Linked DNA regions of Macaca fascicularis. The protein of the gene in region 1 binds, or shares a complex with, the protein of each later gene. Links are inferred from orthologs where the notes say so. Each region holds a gene or a part of one and is shown in the gene's direction. Other genes may lie near its edges.

The links.
Region 2: the proteins of ANXA11 (region 1) and TARDBP are in contact, whole or in part, in a cryo-EM structure (PDB 9FOR), measured with the Homo sapiens proteins. The link is inferred for Macaca fascicularis from reciprocal best matches to the Homo sapiens genes ANXA11 and TARDBP. Residues at the interface, in NP_001148.1 of Homo sapiens: Gly56, Met57, Ala59, Met61, Ser62, Gly63, Phe65, Asn69, Pro71, Asn72, Leu73; in NP_031401.1 of Homo sapiens: Ala328, Leu330, Ser332, Trp334, Gly335, Met337, Gly338, Met339, Ala341, Ser342, Gln343.

What each region holds. Positions count from the first base shown.
Region 1 is NC_088383.1:66,601,882-66,613,378, forward strand, and holds the start of ANXA11 (annexin A11), read left to right. Parts: upstream 1-5,303; 5' UTR 5,304-5,442; exon of another isoform or gene 5,443-5,510; intron 5,511-5,566; exon of another isoform or gene 5,567-5,743; intron 5,744-9,377; 5' UTR 9,378-9,561; intron 9,562-11,497. UniProt on the Homo sapiens protein: Binds specifically to calcyclin in a calcium-dependent manner. Required for midbody formation and completion of the terminal phase of cytokinesis.
Region 2 is NC_088375.1:223,780,997-223,791,785, reverse strand, and holds the end of TARDBP (TAR DNA-binding protein 43), read left to right. Parts: intron 1-2,115; coding exon 2,116-2,279; intron 2,280-3,673; coding exon 3,674-3,814; intron 3,815-6,333; coding exon 6,334-6,504; intron 6,505-8,034; coding exon 8,035-8,565; 3' UTR 8,566-9,955; downstream 9,956-10,789. UniProt on the Homo sapiens protein: RNA-binding protein that is involved in various steps of RNA biogenesis and processing.

The sequences.
Region 1 (11,497 bases):
CGAGACCAGCCTGACCAACACAGTGAAACCCCATCTCTACTAAAAATACAAATATTAGCTGGGCGTAGTGGCACGTGCCTGTAATCCCAGCCACTTGGGAGGCTGGGGCAGGAGAATCGCTTGAACCCGGGAGGCGGAGGTTGCAGTGAGCCGAGATTGCACCACTGCATTCCAGTCTGGGCAACAGGGCAAGACTCCGTCTCAAAAAAGAAAAAGAAAAAAAAAATTTGCAGAAGTCAGTTATTATAACTGCAGATAGTGAATCCCATTGGTACTAGCATGTACATTTTTATGACTATAGTTAAAGTTGAAAATACTTCTATCAGGTTTCACATATGAGCTATAAGATTACCAGGCATTTTGAGTTTTCTGTGCAGTGTCTAATCTTAATACTTCTCAAATTGATAGAAGCATTATCCAGTTTATCATGGACAGTCTTGTTGTAATAGTGGATTGAGTTTTATGTTGTCTTTTAGATGTTAGTATTTCATACCAAGTTATAAAATTTAATCTCAGAAAAGGTCCTAGAGGGTCTCCCTGTGACAAGCATTGACCCTTTTTTGCCAGATCAGAAGAAAGTCAGGGGTAGGGGCACTGTGGGGTCTCGGGTGAGCAGCTATTTACCAAGCAGCATGGAAGAATTCCAGTTTGTAATAATTTATAGCATTTTACTGACGTGTTCTAGATGAATATCCATTTCAAGGGCATATGTATAACACAAACGATGGCAGAAATAAGCCCAAATATTTCTGCTATTCTTATCAATGTGAACTGGTTAAACTCACAAATTAGAAACAGAAACTCAGATGAACTTTTTAAATCTTGTTAAAAAAAATGTCATTTCCAAGAGATAAACCTAAGTAACAATACAGAAAGAGTAAAAAAGGAGAAATAAAATATATACTAGAAAAATGCAATCTCAGGATAACAATATTAATACAAAAAGTAATAAAACTGAATAAGTCATAAAAGGATAAAATAATGTTAATTTGCATGAGCCTAATAATTTGCTCTCAAAATTGTATGGCGGGCCGGGTGAGGTGGTACATGCCTGTAATCCCAGTCATCTAGGAGGCTGAGGCAGGAGGATGGCTTGAGGTCAGGAGTTTGAGGCTGCAGTTATAATCACACCTGTGAATAGCCACTGCACTCCAGCCTGAGAAACATGGTGAGACACTGCCTCTTAAACAAAAATCAAAAAACCACACACAAAAAAAGTATAAAGCAAAATCAGACTAAATTAGAGGGAGAAATTGACAAACTACAATAAAAGTGGGAAATGTTAAATCCACTCTTTCAGAAATCAATGGATTGAACAGGAGAGAAAAAAAAAAAACACAAAAAAACCCCAGGAGATAAAAGATGTAAATAACCTGATTAGCAAGCTAGACGGAGAGCTATAGAGAGAGAGAGAGAGAAAAAAAACACATTAAAAAGTGAAGACACATTCACAAAAATTGGGACAGCCAAAAAAACCTGTATATGAGGCCACAAATAAAGCATTAACAAATTCTAAAAGAACACATTTCCTCATGTCCAAGCAGTAAAGTTAGAGATCAACAATGAAATGATTGGTTTACTTTTATTTAAATTTTATTTATTTATTTATTTTTTGTAGAGACGTCTCTCACTGTGTTGCCCAGGCTGGTCTTAAACTCCTGGTCTCAAGTGATCTTCCCACCTTGGCCTCCCAAAGTGCTGGGATTACATGCCTGAGCCACTGGGCCCCTCCCCAAATGATTATTATTATTTTTTAAAAAACTGAAGTTTGAAAACAAAAAAAGAATGGAAAATATACTTCTAAATAGTCCACGAATTAAGCGTACAATACTAACATAAAAAACAAAATATTGGCCAGGCACAGTGGCTGACACCTGTAATCCCAACACTTTGGAAGGCTGAGGCGGGTGGATCACCTGAGGTCAGGAGTTGGAGACCAGGCTGGCCAAAATGGTAAAACCCCATCTCTACTAAAAATATGAAAATTAGCTGGGTGTGGTGGTGCGCACCTGTAACCACAGCTACTCAGCAGGCTGAGGCAGGAAAATCTCTTGAACCCCGGAGGTGGAGGTTGCAGTGAGCCGAGATCGTGTCACTGCAGTCCAGCCTGGACGACAGCGCGAGACTCTGTCTCAACAACAACAACAAAATCCAAATATTTATAACTAAGAGATAACAAAAGCATAGCATATTAAAACTTGTGATATTCAGCTAAAGCAGACTTTTGAGGGAAATGATAGTCATATATACTCATTAGAAAACAACAAAAGAGGCCGGGCGCCCTGACTCACATAAAATAAAATTTTTTTTAAAAACGAAGCTTTATACACCATACTACTCAGAGCTATATAGCAAGTCACCATTTTTTACCAGGCACTCACCTTCCCTTACCTCGTGTGATGTTTCTATGAGCCCTGGGAAACAATGAAGCAGCGGTGATTTTATGGATTTTTATAGGTCACGTTGAAGATTTTATAGGTGAGAAAGCCGAGGCTCGGAGGATGCACGACTTGCAAGTGTCAGAATCAGAACTAGAATAGATCCCACACATTTGAACACCGAGTTTGGTGTCTTTTCCTTCACACCGCGTTCTCTGGGGGTGCCTGGGCAGTGACCCCTGACATTGGCCTTGAGGATTAGGACCTCAGCTCGGGTCCTCTGCAGAGGCTCCTCAGTCCCTAGTAGCTTGCTGGCACCTAGCTGGGGCTAAACGCAGGTTTGTTGAAAATTATAAAAGGGTAAGCCCAGGGGTAGCTAATTCACCATTCTAGGTTCGAAGAGCTCTGACGCAGAAAGGTGTATACATCCAGCAGGAATTCCACCCTACGTGATTTATTATCAACTTGGTATTCTAGGTATTCGCTCAGCCACGGAGAAAAATGGGCCATTCAAAGACGCTGGCCTTCGCGGTCGCTGTGGGGCTGCAGAGCTGGCGCAGGCGTCCATGCAGGGGGGCTGGGTCGGCGCCAGGAGTCCTTCCCGGACCAATCCCCGGGCCCAGAGAGAGCGCCTGGAGACATTACCACTCCAGGAACTTCACCCAGTTTCTTGGAGGCTTCACACCCGCGCCCTCAGTCCTGCCATCTCCTACGCCGCAGCGGGCGCCGCCACCGGGGTAGTAACCCACTCTGAGAGTCTTTCTGGTGGTGCCTCTGACCCTCTGCTCTTCAGTTCCAGGCGACGTTTTCTCCGAGCCGCTCTGGAGACTTTGGCCTGAATTTCACCCTCACTCGCGGACTCATGTCCAAAAAATGTGGTCCAGCCCGGAAAGAGAGCCGCGCCTGTTGGTGGGGGTCGGGGGTGTTGGAGCGGCCACGGAATATGACTGAGCGCTCAGGGCCGGTTGTGAGGCCGGGGCCAGGATGCCCCAAGGCAAGGCGCTGTTCCTGCCCGGCACCAGCACAGCTGCCCAGACAGGGAGAAGGTCAGAGCCTCCCCTCCAGCCCTTCCCGCTTTTATTGTTCGGAGCGACTTTAAAACGCAAATCGGGCCGGACGCAGTGGCTCACGCCTGTAATCCCAGCACTTTGGGAGGCCGAGGCGGGCGGATCATTTGAGCCCAGGAGTTCGAGATCCGTGTGGCCAACATAGTGAAACCCCGTCTCTACTAAAAATATGAAAATTAGCCGGGCGTGGTGGTGAGCATCTGTAGACCCAGCAACTCGGGAGGCCGAGGAAGGAGAATTGCTTGAATCAGGGAGGCGGAAGTTGCAGTGAGCCGAGATCGTACCACTGCACTCCAACCTGGGCGACAGAGGGAGGCTCCATCTCAAAAAAAAAAAAAAAAAGGAAAATCGCACCAGCAGCTTGTTTGTAACAGTCAAACATAGGCAACAACCTAAATGTCCTTCAGTAAGGAGCTAGGTAGTGAAGAATGGTGAAGTGCACGATGGCGCGCAGTGTGCAGCGGATGGGAAGAACTAGGTCTGTTCGGGAGCGCTTCTATGGAAAGACCCTCCAAGATATAGTGAGTAAAAAAACATGTTGCAGAAAAGTACTGCAATATTGTTTTGTAAACAATACGTTTATGTAAACACACACACACACACACACACAGTATTGAAGAGAGATATTTTGGAAGGACACGCCTAAGAGTGGGCTGGGGGAGTGGAGAGAAGAGTGAATCTCAATTTTTATTCATTTTTTGAATTTTTTATTTTCAGTTTTTTAGAGACCGGGTCTCACTATGTTGCCCAGGCTAGTCTGGAAGCCCTGTCTTCAAGCCATCCTGCTGTCTTGGCCTTCCAAAGTGCTGTGAGATTACAGGTGTCAGCCACCACACATTAAAAAAAAAAAAATTGCATACCTACCATATATGCATATATTACCTGTGTGACCTTTTAAAAATAAGCTTTTTTTTTTTTTTTAGAACGTCTTTAGATTTACAGAAAAAGTGTGAATACAGGGAGTTCTCATAAACCCGAGTTTTTCCTATTACTAACATCTTATATTGGTGTGGCGCTTTTGCCACAATGAATAAACCAAAACTGACGCACTAAAGTCCATATTTTATTCAGTTGTCCTTAGTTTCTACCTACTATCTGTCCAGGATCCCGTTCAGGATACCACTTTACATGTCATTTTTATATCTCCGTGGGTTCCTCTTGGCTGTGACAGTGTCTTACACTTTCCTTGTTTTTGATGACCTTGCTAGTTTTCAGGAGTACTGGTCATGTATATGGCAAGGGCCTCAATTGATTTGTGATGTTTTTCTCATGATTACAGTGGGATTAGGTGTTCTTGGGAGGAAGACCACAAGCGGTGCATGCAATCAGTATGATTTACCGCTGTCGAGGTCACCTTGACGGCTGGGTGGTTGGTCAGGTTTCTCCATGATAGTTACTGACCGCTCCCTTCCTCACATACTGTGCGTGACCTTCCCCCCTCCACCACCACTGAGTGTTGATATGAAAGAAATGTGTTTGACCTTTTCAGTGTAAAAAGTTTTCTTTACCTTAAAGAGAGTCACTAACGACGCACACGGGGCTGGAGAGGATTTAGGAAATGCCCACCCCTGCAGGAGGGCGAATGCGGCTCTGCGCTGCACCGGGCGCTGCAGGGGGTTAGGGGCGACAGAGGGACCTCCAGAGCCGGAGACGTCCTGGAGCAGCTGCGCAGCCGGAAGGGCGCTGCTGCTCGCGGGCCCGCCCTGCCCAAGCCTCATCTCGGGGCGGGGCCGCGCTCAGGCCTCGCCCCTTCCCTGCCCTTCCCCCGGCGCCTGGGGCAACCGCGCCCGCGGAGTTTTCCGCCCGGCAGGCTCCTCCTCCCGCCCCGCCCTGAAGGCTGCGGCGCCCGCGACTCCCCAGTGCCCCGAGTGCCCCGCGAGCGGGAGTGGGACACAGCGCCAGGCAGAACCCAGGCACCGCGTCCGGGACGCCCGCGGAGAGAGCCACTCCCGCCCAAGTCCCATTTCGCCCCTCGCGTCCCGAGTCCCCGTGGCCAGGTGAGTGAGGGTCCCGGGCCGGCCGGGGGCCTGGGACCAGGCGGCGGCAGTGCACCGCGGCACCGCAGGTGAGGCCCGGGGCTGCCCCGCGCCCAGCCCAGCGCGGCCCTGCTGCTTCCTGGTTGCATTACAGGCGTGGGGGTGGGGGACAGAGGAGGCGTCGGCGGGTCCCGGGCTGGCCGTGTCGGCTTGGCAGCCCCCTCAATAAGCTTCGGCGTCGGGGGCTGCCCCCTCCTGTGCGGTCGGGGTGCACTCGCCGGCCCCCCCGGGCTCAGGGGTCAGCGTCTCAGTCTGGGCTTGGGTAAGGCCGGGGGCCGTGACCCTGGGCGGAGGAGGCAACGGGTGGCTGGAGGGATGCCGGAGGCCGAGCCCCGCAGCCCCGCGGGGCCCTCCGGGGTGCGCGCGCTCTTTCAGGCAAGGCTGGGGGAGAGCAAGCAGAAAAGGCTATCTTCAGGAACTTTCCTCCGTAACTGGGAGCACGCACATTCATGGGAGCTGCTACCATTGCAGTTTATTTGTAAGGAACTCTCCCCAATGTTTGAGAGAATGCGGGAGCCATCCCCGATGTTGTGCCTCCCTTCGCCCCTTCCCCAACTTTGATCCCCAGTTTCAGGAAGGGATTCCTGGACTTGTATCTCCCCATGGGTGCAGGCCAGGCCCTTAAGACTTAGAAAGGTAAAACGGTCTGTTGGTTTAAAGGAGACACGCGAAATTTGTCACCTAGAGACTTTGGAGGGGAAAAGTTAAGCCAGCCAGTGCTAGCCCAAGCTGGAAACAGTCGGCCCGGGGCATTTCTGTCTCTGCCCTCCAATCAGTGACCTCTCTGTAGAGATTGGGCGTTTGTGGTGGTTCTCCCATCTGTTCTCTGCCTTAGGCATGGAGTGGAGCTGTGAGGCCGAGCCCCTGCCCTGCCCACGCAACAGGGACTAAAGGTTTGCAGGGCATGCTCACCCTTCACTGGCTCTCTCATTGCTTTCCTCATTCCTTTTATGCGGCAGTCAACTGTTGGGGATTCCAGGAGGATTAACAGGCCCCCTTTCCTAAACGCATTCTTTGTGCTGCAAGGTGTTCCCTGACAAGGGAGGCCAGGTGAGGTGCCAGGGCAGTTTGTTGCCCTGGCATTGGGTGCCCACTACTTCAGGCTCCTGCATACCTTGCTATCTTGTCTCTGACTATTGTCTGTGCTTTGGTTTCCTCATCTGTAAAATGGGGATAATACTAATCCCTGCCTCACAGGTTTGTTGTGAGATTCAGTGCATTCATTCATTTAATAACCATACAGCGCTCAGGTACGGACCAGTCAGAACAGGTGGTGACTGCTGTACCACACTTGTGTGTCCCAGATGGGTGTCACCCAGATTAGCCATAAAGTGTGTGAGGCAGGCCTGGGTCATAAATAATCAGGTATAAGGGTCAGTAAATAGTAGCAGTGGAAGGTTCAGCTAAAGTTGAAATGCGCTTCTCCTGAACCGTCTTTCTGGCTTAGCTCATGCTAAGCTCATGCTGTCTGTCTTCCTGGAATGCCCTCCCTCCCCGTCTGGCCCAGGATTCTCCACCCTCCTGGGAGCCATCCTGGTGCCTGCTGCCCAGCAGGAGGGATGGGATATGCTCTGAGCTCACTCAGCCCCTCCAGCACTGACTCAGTTCTCATCTCTCACCTTGTGCGTAGTGTTTGTGTGGCCATGTGGCTTATCTCTGCCCTGTCTTCTGACTCTGGAGGGTGGAGGCTGTTTCTGACTTACCTCTTGGTGGTAGCACTCAGGATGGGCCTTGCCTAATGTAGGTGCTCAGAAAATTAGTTGTCGTTAGTTGAACAACAGAGGCAGCACAGGGAAGTAGTTTCCCTGTGGTTAAAGTATAGGACCTTGAAGGCTGGATTTGGATAGGCAGAGAAATGTGGGGAGGGTGAGATGGAGATGAATTGGGACTAAGAGGTGGGAGTGGAAGCCCCATCTGATGCCTTTATGCATGATATTATAGAAAGGGCTCACCCTGGGTGGACGTATCTAGAAGGCCAGGATCGATTAGTGATGCCTAGTTCACATGATTGGGGAGGTGATGTGTGACTTGGGATGACAGGAGTGGGAGTTGAGACAGAATAGGTTAGTGTGGGTTCTTCTTGGGAACTGTAGAATAGAGAAAAGAAACTGGTGTGGGCAGGAGGTGAATGTGGAACCAAAATGCATGCTGAATGCTGGAACATCAGAGGTTCCAGGACCTTTCTGGTGCACCCCCTCCTTCCTCCTGGATTCACTCCTCTTCTCCCTCTTTTTTTAATTTTTATTTTTTGTTGAGACAGATCTCATTCTGTCGCCCAGGCTGGAGTGCAGTGGTACAGTCTTGGCTCACTGCAACCTCTGCTCCCTGGGTTTAAATGATTCTCCTCCCTTGGCCTCCTGAGTAGCTGGGATTACAGGCATGCGCCACCATGCCCGGCTAATTTTTGTATTTTTAGTAGAGACGGGGCTTCACCATGTTGGCCAGGCTGGTCTTGAACTCCTGACCTCAGATGATCTGCCCGCCTTAGCCTTCCAAAGTGCTGGGATTACAGGAGTGAGTCACCGTGCCCGGCCTCCTCTCTCTTCTTCGCCACCGTCTTCCCCCATAAGCCTGAAGCAGTTCCTGGCACTTGGTCCCGTGGGGAAGCGTGTGTGCAAGGGTGTGCTTCACCAGCACTGCCAAGGAAACAGACTTTTCACTTTCTGTGGATTTTTCTCTGCAGCACTCTCTGATCCCATGACCCCCAGAATAGTGGGAATTCTGAGTGATACCTAGATAGGAAAGCTGTTAGGATGAATGAAGAAACTGAGGTTTTCTTGGTGGGCATTTGTGCTTTTAAAGGGAATTGTTGCAGTTCAGTGGAACTCTCTGATAACCGCTGAAACTGTTACACATTAGGCCTACTGATCCTGTCTCCTATAACCCATGAAATAAAGACCTGATAGTCACATAGTTGTTTGTTATTTGGGAGGATCCTAAAAGTACAGCCTGAACAGTGACCCAGACCACAGTTGGCCTTGCCCATGCTGAAGTGAGGAAGGAATGGGTGGGGGCAACCAAGAAATTGGGGGACAGAGTTCTCTGTGCTGGGTATCCTGGGACAAGCCACCCAGCTACACTGAGCCCCCCACACACAGAACAGTTCTGGATAATAAAATGCCTGCCTGGAATGGAGAATCAGATGAGAAGATGTTTGCAAAGGGGTTTGAGATCAGTTGGGGGTAGTGATGACAATGTTGATATGGTGGGTGTGTGACTGCCAGGAGTTGTGAAGCAGCGGGTGGAGCATGCCGTGGTCAAAGCCTGGTTCTGAGATCTCTAGTTTTCCAGGGGCTTAGGCTCCGCCTTAGCAGAAAAGAAGGAAAGGAAATTGAGAGGGAAGTCAGATGTCCCCTGCCCCTCACACCTGGGGGTGGCTGACTTGGAGGACTTGAGATGGGGGGAAATCTGAGTGAGGGCAGAGAGGAGAAATGTGGAGGCTACCCACGGGGAGGCTGGAGAGCATATGGCACATCCAGCCTGGGGAGTGGCACCGCTGGGGGAAAGGGTGCATGTGTCAGTGGGGAAGGAGTGGTGATAGCAGATGTGAGCTTGCTGTGTCCACTAAAAAGGTCACGGCTATTTTTAGGAAGTAGGTGACAAGGCATGTTCCGGTAGAACGGCTCATTACTGAGAACCCACTGTTGGCCTCACCCTGCGTGCTGTGCTTAAAAGAAGAGACCGCCCCCACTCACCCTAGAGTCATCCCCCTGGTGTCCCTGAGACATGGGACACTGGATGAGGACCAGGTTTGGAGGATGAAGAAGATCATGTATTTGGTTTTGGACATACTATGTTTGAGGTATCTTTGAGATACCAAATAAGCTGGTGGGTCTGGGGCTCAGGAGGAGTCTTGGCTAGACAGACATTTGTCTAGGTTGTGTTTGTGTTTGAAGTCATGGGCACAGCGAGATGGAAGAACTCACCTTGAACAGCTGAGTAAAGGAAGATGAGCCTATAAAGGACCCAGAAAAAGAGCTGCCTGAGAGGGGCCCAGAAAGCCAGCACAGAGTTGTATCCCAGGAGCCAGGGTGAGTCTGCTTCGTGGGATGGAGTAGTCAGCTTGGCATCGCGGCTGTGGTGAGTGACATGGAGAAGATGCAGCTGCCTTCACTGCTTTGGTGGGATGATGGGAGCAGAAGCGAGGTTGGAATGAATGGGTGAGGAGTAGCAGGACATGAGGATCTGATGATAGTAAGTTTAGACAGGCTCTGAAATGGTGGCTTTGAAGGCGAGGAGGACGTGTTTGACCCTGTTGCCTCGATTTACCCTCCTGCTCCCTTTCCAATCCCAGAAGGGAACATGTGGATGGCCTGCCACCGACATCCCTCCCCATGGCGCTCCATGCTCAGGCAGACCTAGGTGCCTGCAAGGGTTTGCTCCTTTCACAAAATGGATTCATTTTCATGAATGAGTGAATGAGTGAATGAAGCATGTTGCCCAGGCGGGTCTCAAAGCCCTGGCCTCAAGCAGTCCCCCCACCCCGCCTCAGCCTCCCAAAGTGCTGGGATTACAGGAGCCACTGCACCTGGCTGGTATTAAATTTTCTTTGTGGCCAACTGCATGATAAATATTAACATGTTTCATGGGCGTGAAAAGAGAAAATAGGTACTCTGCGGGACACTGACTTTAGATAGATCTCTTAACTTCAGTTGCCCTTATATCCCTGCTTGCCTGGCTGTCAGATTCTGAGAGGTATAACAAAAACTCTCACTGTAGTTTTTTAAAGTCCAGCTCTATTTATATTTGTGGGAGTTCTAGCCTTTGAATTTGGCTTTCATGTTTCGTGTATACAGGCTTATCAAGCTGATCTTCCTACCTTGTGTCATTTGCTGGTTATTTAATGCCTTTGGTCTTTGGCCTTAAATTCCATATTGTCTGTGTTTTAGGAGAATACGTGGCCAAGGATCTGGAAGAATCTCTTTTCTTTATAGTCTTAAAATTAATAAATAAGTGCATTTTATAAGATAATAAGTGAAAGGCTCAGAAATTTTAACGCAGGCATCAGAGGACATTCAAGCCATGCCCCTTTAGTTTCTGTTCAGCCTCATACGGAGCAGTTAGTAATCAGGTCTCACTGATGATCATGAGCTCCCTGTCCTTGGCTGTCCTGATGGTCCCCATGATAGCCAGATTTTTAGGAGGGGTGGATAAAGTGAGATTTGCTTGCAAACTCCTGGGACGTTGCCTGGGAGCCTCTTCTCTTACTTTGCAATTCTTGCCCGCTTCCTGTAGGTCCAAGGAGCGGACTGCTGTGCCTCTCATTTACGCATTTCCTTCCTCATTCGAGGCAGCAAAATGAGCTTTTGACAGAGTAGCCAGTACAAACACTTCCCAGGGCCAGAGGTCAGAAAGATGTGGGCCCCAAGTTGTAAGCTCGTCTCTGTGCTTGTGTTTTAAGCCACATAAACTTTCTCAGCGGGCTGGACTAGCCTACGCCTTGTTGTACCCTGAGATCCTAGTGAGTAGTTCTCCAAGTCCTGTGTTTACAGATAGAGGCAAATGCCAGAGAGAAATGGCTGGAAAACCCCTTGGCCTGCTAAGGCAGGATTATTGAAAAGTCTTCCACGTATGTACTTTTGAATTTTACATATTTTTTCATTTTTATTTATTTTGAGACCAGACTAAGTTTTGTATTTTTGGTAGAGATGGGGTTTTGCCCAGGCTGGTCTCAAACTCCTGGGCTCAAGTAATCTGCCCACCTCAGCTTCCCAAAGTGCTGGGATTACAGACATGAGCCACTGCACCTGGCCAACCACTGTGCCCAGCCTATTTTTAATATTAATATTTCCACCTCTGGTTTTTCTTTGCATTTATTTGGTATGTCTTTGCCCAACCGTTAGTTTTAAATATCTGTTTCTCACTTAAAAAAGTTTATCTAGGCTGGGCGCTGTGGCTCACGCCTGTAATCCCAGCACTTTGGGAGGCCAAGGTGGGCGGAATACGAGATCAGGAGATCAAGACCATCCTGGCTAACGCGGTGAAACCTCATCTCTACTAAAAATATAAAAAAATT
Region 2 (10,789 bases), on another chromosome or scaffold:
GGAGCTTGCAGTGAGCCGAGATCACGCCACTGCACTCCAGCCTGGGAGACACAGCGAGACTCCGTCTCAAAAAAAAAAATAATAATAATAATAATAATTAATAATGTAAACTGGGGGTTTTTAGTATGCTGTTTCTTCAGCCATTGGGTATAGATTAATATTTACCCAAATTTAAAATGTCAGGCTGGGTACAGTGGCTCACACCTGTAATTCCAGCACTTTGGGAGGCTGAGGTGAGCAGATCACCTGAGGTCCGAAGTTCAAGACCAGCCTGGCCAACGTGGTGAAACCCCGTCTCTACTAAAAATACAAAACTTAGACAGGCGCGGTGGTTTGCATCTGTAGTCTTAGTTACTGGGGAGGCTGAGGCAGGAGAATTGCTTGAACCCAGGAGGTGGAGGTTGCAGTAAGCTGAGATGGTGCCACTGCTCTCCAGCCTGGGCAGCAGAGCGGGACACCGTCTCAAAAAAAAGAAAAAGGGCCGGGCGCGGTGGCTCAAGCCTGTAATCCCAGCACTTTGGGAGGCCGAGACGGGTGGATCACGAGGTCAGGAGATCAAGACCATCCTGGCTAACGCGGTGAAACCCCGTCTCTACTAAAAGTACAAAAAACTAGCCGGGCGAGGTGGCGGGCGCCTGTAGTCCCAGCTACTCGGGAGGCTGAGGCAGGAGAATGGCGTAAACCCGGGAGGCGGAGCTTGCAGTGAGCTGAGATCCGGCCACTGCACTCCAGCCTGGGCGACAGAGCGAGACTCCGTCTCAAAAAAAAAAAGAAAAGAAAAAAATGTCATTTAATTTATCTCTCCAGGCCGGACACAGTGGCTCACACCTGTAATCCCAGCTACTCAGGAGACTGAGGCAGGAGAATCACTTAATCACTTGAACCCAGGAGGCAGAGGTTGCAGTGAGGGGAGATTACATCACTGCACTCCAGCCTGGGTGACAGAATGAGAATCCGTCTCAAAAAAAAAAAAATTATCTCCCTTTCTCTTCTAAATAACCTAAGGTTAAGGTTGTGTAGGAGTTTTTTGTTGTTGTTGTTTGTTTTTTGAGATGGAGTCTTGCTCTGTCACCCAGGCTGGAGTGCAGTGGCGCGATCTTGGCTCACTGCAACCTCCACCTCTGGGGTTCAAGTAGTTCTCTGCCTCAGCCTCCTGAGTAGCTGGGATTACAGGCGCCTGCCACCACGACCGGCTAATTTTTGTATTTTTATCTATTTATTTATTTTATTTTATTTTGAGACAAAGTCTCGCCCAGGCTGGAGTGCAGTGGCACAATCTTGGCTCACTGCAACCTCTGCCTCTTGGGTTCAGGCAATTCTCCTGCCTCAGCCTCCCAAGTAACTGGGATTACAGGCGCCTGCCACCGAGCCCGGCTAATTTTTTTGTGTGTTTTTAGCATAGATGGAGTTTCACCATCTTAGCCAGGCTGGTCTTGAACTCTTGACCTTGTGATCCACCTGCCTCAGCCTCCCAAAGTGCTGGGATTACAGGTGTGAGCCACCATGCCCAGCTGGTTATGTTTTTTTAAGTAAGCCAAACTTTTGGTTTCTTTTTCTTTTTTGAAATTAGAGATGGGGGCTCTTGCTCTGTTGCCTAGGCATATTGTAGTGGCTGTTCATAGACACCCTGCAGCCTCAAACTCCTGGACTCTAAGGCAGGAGTTTGTTGGAACTTCCTTCCTCAGCCTCCTGAGTTGTTGGAACTTACAGGCATATACACCACTGTGCCTGGTTTTCCATTTTATTGCAAAAGCTGTGTATTGTCGAATGTTTAGGAAAGATAAAAGTGAAATCTACATCGGGAGATACAAGTTGCTGATACTTAAAGTCAAAGTGAAGTAGAATTATTTTTGTTTTGATAAACCTTTTGAGAGAGATTGTAATCTGGAAGTACTACAAAAAACAAAATTGGAAATCACTGAATTTGCACCAGAAAAGCACCTCAGACACTAAACTTAAGCCTTTATTCTGTCCTCTAGAGCAAAAATCACTTCTTGCAAGTTTTCAGTGTCTTACTCTTCTTAGAGTCTCCTTTTTGCTTCTCATTTCTGGATGTAGGAGGTAGTGTTTTTAAAGAAGTGCTAAGTCTAAAAGGTTTCTGCTCATTTTATTTAGATAACAAAAGAAAAATGGATGAGACAGATGCTTCATCAGCAGTGAAAGTGAAAAGAGCAGTCCAGAAAACATCCGATTTAATAGTGTTGGGTCTCCCATGGAAAACAACTGAACAGGACCTGAAAGAGTATTTTAGTACCTTTGGAGAAGTTCTTATGGTGCAGGTAAACTTCGATTGCATCAAACAGTTTTTCTTTACAGTGAATGAGCATCTAGCATTTATTTATTGGTATACATAGAGATGGGGTCTCACTATGTTGCCTATGCTCTGGTGTTGAACTCCTGGGCTCAAACTGTCCTCCCACTTCAACCCCAGTGTGCTGAGCCATGATGCCTTAGCCACATTCTTGTTACTTTTTTTTTTTTTGGAGACCAAGTCTCACTTTGCTGTCCAGGCTGGAGTGCAGTGGCACTATCTTGGCTCACTGCAAACCTCCACCTCCTGGGTTTAAGCGATTTCTCCTGTCTTAGCCTCCTGTATCTGGGATTACAGGCGCACATTATCACGCCTGGCTAATTTTGTATTTTTTAGTAGAGACAGGGTTTCACCAGTTGGCCAGGCTGTTCTTGAACTCCTGACCTCAGGTGATCCACCTGCCTTGGCCTCCCAGTGCTGGGATTACAGGTGTGAGCCACCGTGCCCGGCCATATTCTTGTTATTTTAATGGCACTGTACTTCCTGTTACACAAATGATACTTCCAATATTTGTTATATTTACACACATATCTTGTACTCTATATTATTACCTTCAATATTGTAAAATCCTGCTGTTGCATGAAGGCTTAAGGGAATTAGGTGATAATAGCTTTTTATCTTTGAATTCATTCTAAGACATTCTGTTAAAATCCTGTTGTGGTGGCTCATGCCTGTAATCCCAGCATTTTGGTAGGCTGAGGTAGGAGGATTGCTTGAGGCCAGGAGTTCAAGACCACCTTAGCCAACATAATCCAGACTCAGGATTGCTTGAGGCCAGGAGTTCAAGACCACCTTAGCCAACATAATCCAGACTCAGTTTCTCTTTTTTTCTTTTTGGAGACAGGGTCTGGCTCTGTCAGCCAGGCTCTAGAGTGCAGTGGTGCAATTTAGGCTTGCTGCAACCTCTGCCTCCTGGATTCAAGCTATTCTTGTGCTTCAGCCTGCCAAGTAGCTGGGACTACAGACGCATGCCACTATACCTGGCTAATTTTTGTATTTTTTGTAGAGATAGGGTTTCATTGTGTTGCCCAGGCTGGACTTTAACTCCTGTGCTCAAGTTATCCACCCTCCTCAGCCTCCCAAAGCGCTGGGAATACAGGTGTGAGCCACCACGCCTGGCCCCATCTCTCTTTTTTTTAAGAACTCAAAAACATTTCTGTTGTATAAGTGAGTTTTGCTCTATTGTTAACACGGTATGGATTCAATATTAACCTCCTTGTTTTTACTCTGAAGACTAACTTGGTTTAAGTTTTAAACAACTGCATCCAGTTAAAACCATTCAAATTGTTTTTTAAGGAACTATGATTTGGGCGTGGAATGTGTATGTGTACTGTTAGAGTAAACTTAAATCATCCTTTCTAGGTCAAGAAAGATCTTAAGACTGGTCATTCAAAGGGGTTTGGCTTTGTTCGTTTTACGGAATATGAAACACAGGTGAAAGTAATGTCACAGCGACATATGATAGATGGACGATGGTGTGACTGTAAACTTCCTAATTCTAAGGTACTTGGGTCTGTGCTTTGGGATTTTTTGCTGACAAACTTCCTTAGAAGATTGTAAGATAAAATGTAAACACACTTAGAAAAGATAGTGGTAGGGTGTGTTCATGAAATCCTTTTGTCTTGTTGAAGTCTTTGGCCCTTAATGCATGCTGAATATTTTATGCTTGTTTGAAATATTTAGTTTATTACTTCTCCAAATGAAACCTTTGTTCATTTTGTTCTTCCTTTTTGTTATGCATGGAAAAGAGGAAAGATTATTTGTCAAGTTAACAGTTTCTTACATAGTTATATGTTAAAACATAAAGACAATCAGAATACGTACATTAATCTTGTTATAAAGACCTTTTTCCAAGCAAACAAATAACATTTGCTTATTTGGAACATCATCATCTTTGCCAGGAGATTGCGTATTTATTGATTTTCTCAAATCCAAATACAGTCATGCGTCACATGGCAAAGTTCATCAGTCAGCAGCAGACCACGTGTACAGCAGTGGTCCCATAAGATTATAACACTGTTTTTATGGTACCCTTTCTTTTTTTTTTTTTTTTGAGACGGAGTCTCGCTCTGTCACCCAGGCTGGAGTGCAGTGGCCGGATCTCAGCTCACTGCAAGCTCCGCCTCCCGGGTTCACGCCATTCTCCTGCCTCAGCCTCCCGAGTAGCTGGGACTACAGGCGCCCGCCACCCCGCCCGGCTAAGTTTTTGTATTTTTAGTAGAGACGGGGTTTCACTGTGTTAGCCAGGATGGTCTCGATCTCCTGACCTCGTGATCCGCCCGTCTCGGCCTCCCAAAGTGCTGGGATTACAGGCTTGAGCCACCGCGCCCGGCCTTATGGTACCCTTTCTATGTTTAGATACACAGATACTTACAATCATGTTACAGTCAGTCACCTACAGTGTTGAGTACAGTAACTTGGAAGTTTGTGGCCTGGGAGCAATAGGCTATACCATCTAGCCTAAGTGTGGGGTAGGCTGTGCTATCTGGGTTTATATGATGTTTGCACAATGACGATCTTTTGTTTGTTTGTTTGTTTGTTTGAGACAGTGTCTCACTTTGTCGTCCAGGCTGGAGTACAGTGGTGCGATCTCAGCTCACTGCAAGCTCCACCTTCTGGGTTCACGCCATTCTCCTGCCTCAGCCTACTGAGTAGCTGGGACTACAGGCGCCTGCCAACACGCTTGGCTGATTTTTTGTATTTTTAGTAGAGATGGGGTTTCGCCATGTTAGCCAGGATAGTCTTTTATTTTTTATTTATTTATTTTTTTTTTTGAGATGGAGTCTCGCTCTGTCACCCAGGCTGGAGTACAGTGACCGGATCTCAGCTCACACTGCAAGCTCCGCCTCCCGGGTTTATGCCATTCTCCTGCCTCAGCCTCCCAAGTAGCTGGGACTACAGGCGCCTGCCACCTCGCCTGGCTAGTTTTTTGTATTTTTTAGTAGAGACGGGGTTTCACCGGGTTAGGCAGGATGGTCTCAATCTCCGGACGTTGTGATCCGCCCGTCTCGGCCTCCCAAAGTGCTGGGATTACAGGCTTGAGCCACCGCTCCCGGCCGCCAGGATGGTCTTAATCTTCTGGCCTCATGATCTGCCCAGCCACTGCGCCTGGCTTTTTTTTTTTTTTTTTTTTTTTTTTGAGACGGAGTTTTGCTCTTGTTGCCCAAGCTGGAGTGCAATGGCGTGCTCTTGGGTCACTGCAATCTCCGCCTTCCAGGTTCCAGCAATTCTCCTGCCTCAGCTTCCCGAGCTTCTGGGATTACAGTCATGCACCACTATGCCTGGCTAACTTTGTATTTTTAGTAGAGATGGGGTTTCTCCGTGTTGGTCAGGCTTATTTTGAACTCCTGACCTCAGGTGATCCACCTGCCTTGGCCTCCCAAAGTGTGGGGATTACAGGCGTGAGCCACTGTGCCCGGCCTTTTTTTTTTTTTTTTTTTTTTTTTTTTTTTTTTTTTTTTTTGAGACGGAGTTTTACTCTTGTTGCTCAGTCTAGAGTGTAAAGGTGCAATCTTGGCTCACTGCAACCTCCACCTCCTGGATTCAAGTGATTCTCCTGCCTCAGCCTCCCAAGATGCTGGGATTGCAGGCACCTGCCACCACACCCAGCTAATTTTTGTATTAGTAGAGCTGGGGGTTCACCATGTTGACCAGGCTGGTCTTGAACTCCAGACCTCAGGTGATCCACCCGCCTCGGCCTCTCAAAGTGCTGGGATTACAGGCGTTCACCACCACACCTGGCCACAATGATGAAATTGTGTAATGGCTCATGATGTATTTCTCAGAACATATGTCCATCGTGATGTGATGCATGACTGTACTTTTGTAACTTAAAACGTTACTCTTCACTGAAGCCTTTTAAGAAAAAAAATGCTGATGCAAAAAATGAAGGGTATGTCTACTTTTTAATGATTCACTGCTATCCAAGGCAGAATGATTTTGTTATATCCCTTACCTTAATGCTTTTTTCATTGTTCATAACATATTTCTGAGTTTTTTTTTCTTCCTTTTGATTTGATCAGCAAAGCCAAGATGAGCCTTTGAGAAGCAGAAAAGTGTTTGTGGGGCGCTGTACAGAGGACATGACTGAGGATGAGCTGCGGGAGTTCTTCTCTCAGTACGGGGATGTGATGGATGTCTTCATCCCCAAGCCGTTCAGGGCCTTTGCCTTTGTTACATTTGCAGATGATCAGGTATTTTTCTCCTTAACAATATGTCCCGACCAGGCGTGGTGGCTCATGCTTGTAATCCCAGCACTTTGGGAGGCTGAGGTGGGCGGATCACGAGGTCAGGAGATCAAGACCATCCTGGCCAACATGGCGAAACCCTGTCTCTATTAAAATACAAAAAAAAAAAAATTAGCTGGGTATGGTGGTGCACGCCTGTCGTCCCAGCTACTCTGGAGCCTGAGGTAGGGGAATCACTTGAACCCAGGAGGCGGAGGTGGCAGTGAGCTGAGATCACGCCACTGCACTCCAGCCTGGTGACAGAGCAAGACTGTCTCAAAAAAAAATATGTCCCAGGTAATTAGGTAATTTCTCTTGAACATTTCCCATCCAGCTAATTGCTAGTCTTAGCTGAGTTTTCTGACCTTGTAAGATGTAGGGTGTATGGGCCTAGACGTTTGTGATACCTGTATCTGATATCCCAAATGTAATATTTTTAAAAAATCTAAAAGTAAGTATACCTTTAGATAGTTTTCAGTATGTGGCATTTGGGAATGTTATATACCATTTTTTGTTTTGTTTTTTGTTTGAGATAGAGTTTTGCTCTTGTTGCGCAGACTGGAGTGCAGTGGCACAATCTCGGTTCACTGCAACTTCCACCTAATGGGTTCAAGCAGTTCTCCTGCCTCAGCCTCCCAAGTAGCTGGGATTATAGGCGCCTGCTACCACGCCTAGCTAATTTATTTGTATTTTTAGTAGAGACACGGTTTCACCATGTTGGCCAGGCTGGTCTCAAACTCCTGACCTCAGATGATCCGCCCACCTCAGCCTCCCTCCCAAAGTGCTGAGATTACAGGTGTGAGCCACCACACCTGGCCATTTTTTTGTATCTTTAGTAGAGACGGGGTTTCACTGTTTTGGTCTGGCTGGTCCTGCACTCCTGACCTCAGGTGATCCACCTGCCTCAGCCTCCCAAAGTGCTGGGACTACAGGCGCAAGCCACTGCTCCCGCTCCTGGTCCCCCCCCCCTTTTTTTTTTGAGACAAGGTCTCACTCCGTTGCCCAGGCTGGTGGAACACAGTGGTGTAATCAAAGCTCACTACATCCTAGAACTCCTGGGCTCAGCCTCCAGGGGAGGATCCTTCAGCTGCAGCCTCCTAAGTAGCTAGGACAGGTACATGCCACTATGCCCAGCTAATGTGGCATTTTGTGGGGTTTTTTAAATAGAGGTGGGGTCTCCCTGTGTCGTCCAGGCTGCCAGGCTAGTCTTCAACTCTTAGCCTTACCCAGTCCTCCCACCTTGGCCTCCCAAAGCGCTAGGATTACAGGCATGAGCCACCATGTCCAGCCTATGTCTTTTGAAAATCGACGGAAATATCACTGCTGCTATTAATAAAACTAAAAGCTGTATTGGGGGTTTAAATGAAATGAGCAGTCATTGCTTATTTTTCCTCTGGCTTTAGATAAATTAATGCTTGTAATCTAAGTTTTGTTGCTACTTTAAATGTATGAATCAATGGTTTAATCTTCTTTGTTTACATCCCTTATTTCTTATAGATTGCGCAGTCTCTTTGTGGAGAGGACTTGATCATTAAAGGAATCAGCGTTCATATATCCAATGCCGAACCTAAGCACAATAGCAATAGACAGTTAGAAAGAAGTGGAAGATTTGGTGGTAATCCAGGTGGCTTTGGGAATCAGGGTGGATTTGGTAATAGCAGAGGGGGTGGAGCTGGTTTGGGAAACAATCAAGGTAGTAATATGGGTGGTGGGATGAACTTTGGTGCATTCAGCATTAATCCAGCCATGATGGCTGCTGCCCAGGCAGCACTACAGAGCAGTTGGGGTATGATGGGCATGTTAGCCAGCCAGCAGAACCAGTCAGGCCCATCGGGTAATAACCAAAGCCAAGGCAACATGCAGAGGGAGCCAAACCAGGCCTTCGGTTCTGGAAATAACTCTTATAGTGGTTCTAATTCTGGTGCAGCAATTGGTTGGGGATCAGCATCAAATGCAGGGTCGGGCAGTGGTTTTAATGGAGGCTTTGGCTCAAGCATGGATTCTAAGTCTTCTGGCTGGGGAATGTAGGCAGTGGGGTTGTGGTTGGTGGTATAGAATGGTGGGAATTCAAATTTTTCTAAACTCATGGTAAGTATATTGTAAAATACGTATGTACTAAGAATTTTCAAAATTGGTTTGTTCAGTGTGGAGTATATTCAGCAGTATTTTTGACATTTTTCTTTAGAAAAAGGAAGAGCTAAAGGAATTTTATAAGTTTTGTTACATGAAAGGTTGAAATATTGAGTGGTTGAAAGTGAACTGCTGTTTGCCTGATTGGTAAACCAACACACTACAATTGATATCAAAAGGTTTCTCCTGTAATATTTTATCCCTGGACTTGTCAAGTGAATTCTTTGCATGTTCAAAATGGAAACCATTGATTAGAACTACATTCTTTACCCCTTGTTTTAATTTGAACCCCACCATATGGATTTTTTTCCTTAAGAAAATCTCCTTTTAGGAGATCATGGTGTCACAGTGTTTGGTTCTTTTGTTTTGTTTTTTAACACTTGTCTCCCCTCATATACAAAAGTACAATATGAAGCCTTCATTTAATCTCTGCAGTTCATCTCATTTCAAATGTTTATGGAAGAAGCACTTCATTGAAAGTAGTGCTGTAAATATTCTGCCATAGGAATACTTCTGTCTACATGCTTTCTCATTCAAGAATTCGTCATCACGCATCACAGGCCGCGTCTTTGACGGTGGGTGTCCCATTTTTATCCGCTACTCTTTATTTCATGGAGTCGTATCAACGCTATGAACGCAAGGCTGTGATATGGAACCAGAAGGCTGTTTGAACTTTTGAAACCTTGTGTGGGATTGATGGTGGTGCCGAGGCATGAAAGGCTAGTATGAGCGAGAAAAGGAGAGAGCGCGTGCAGAGACTTGGTGGTGCATAATGGATATTTTTTAACTTGGCGAGATGTGTCTCTCAATCCTGTGGCTTTGGTGAGAGAGTGTGCAGAGAGCAATGATAGCAAATAATGTACGAATGTTTTTTGCATTCAAAGGACATCCACATCTGTTGGAAGACTTTAAGTGAGTTTTTGTTCTTAGATAACCCACATTAGTTGAATGTGTTAAGTGAAATGATACTTGTACTCCCCCTACCCCTTTGTCAACTGCTGTGAATGCTGTATGGTGTGTGTTCTCTTCTGTTACTGATATGTAAGTGTGGCAATGTGAACTGAAGCTGATGGGCTGAGAACATGGACTGAGCTTGTGGTGTGCTTTGCAGGAGGACTTGAAGCAGAGTTCACCAGTGAGCTCAGGTGTCTCAAAGAAGGGTGGAAGTTCTAATGTCTGTTAGCTACCCATAAGAATGCTGTTTGCTGCAGTTCTGTGTCCTGTGCTTGGATGCTTTTTATAAGAGTTGTCATTGTTGGAAATTCTTAAATAAAACTGATTTAAATAATATGTGTCTTTGTTTTGCAGCCCTGAATGCAAAGAATTCATAGCAGTTAATTCCCCTTTTTTGACCCTTTTGAGATGGAACTTTCATAAAGTTTCTTGGCAGTAGTTTATTTTGCTTCAAATAAACTTATTTGAAAAGTTGTCTCAAGTCAAATGGATTCATCACCTGTCATGCATTGACACCTGATACCCAGACTTAATTGGTATTTGTTCTTGCATTGGCCAAAGTGAAAAGTTTTTTTTTTGTTTTGTTTTTGTTTTTTGTTTTTGTTTTTTTTTCTTTTGAAATCTAGTTTTGAATAAGTCTGGGTGACCGCACCTAAAATGGTAAGCAGTACCCTCCGGCTTTTTCTTAGTGCCTCTGTGCATTTGGGTGATGTTCTATTTACATGGCCTGTATAAATCTCCATTGGGAAATCATTCCTTCTAAAAAGATTATTTGGGAGAGTGGGCAAAATGTTGATTATTTTCTAATGCTTTGTAGCAAAGCATATCAATTGAAAAGGGAGTATCAGTACCTTCCTAGTTTGAGATTTGAAAAGTGGAATTAATTGCAATAGGGATAAAGTAGAAGAAACCACAAATTATCTTGTGCCTGAAATCCATTAAGAGGCCTGATAGCTTTAAGAATTAGGGTGGGTTGTCTGTCTGGAAGTGTTAAGTGGAATGGGCTTCGTCCTCCAGGAGGTGGGGGAATGTGGTAACATTGAATAAAGTTGAATAAAATCACTTACAAAACTCAGACTCTCACAATGCATTGTTAAGTATGTAAAAGCAATAACATTGATTCTCTGTTGTACTTTTTTGTAACTAATTCTGTGAGAGTTGAGCTCAT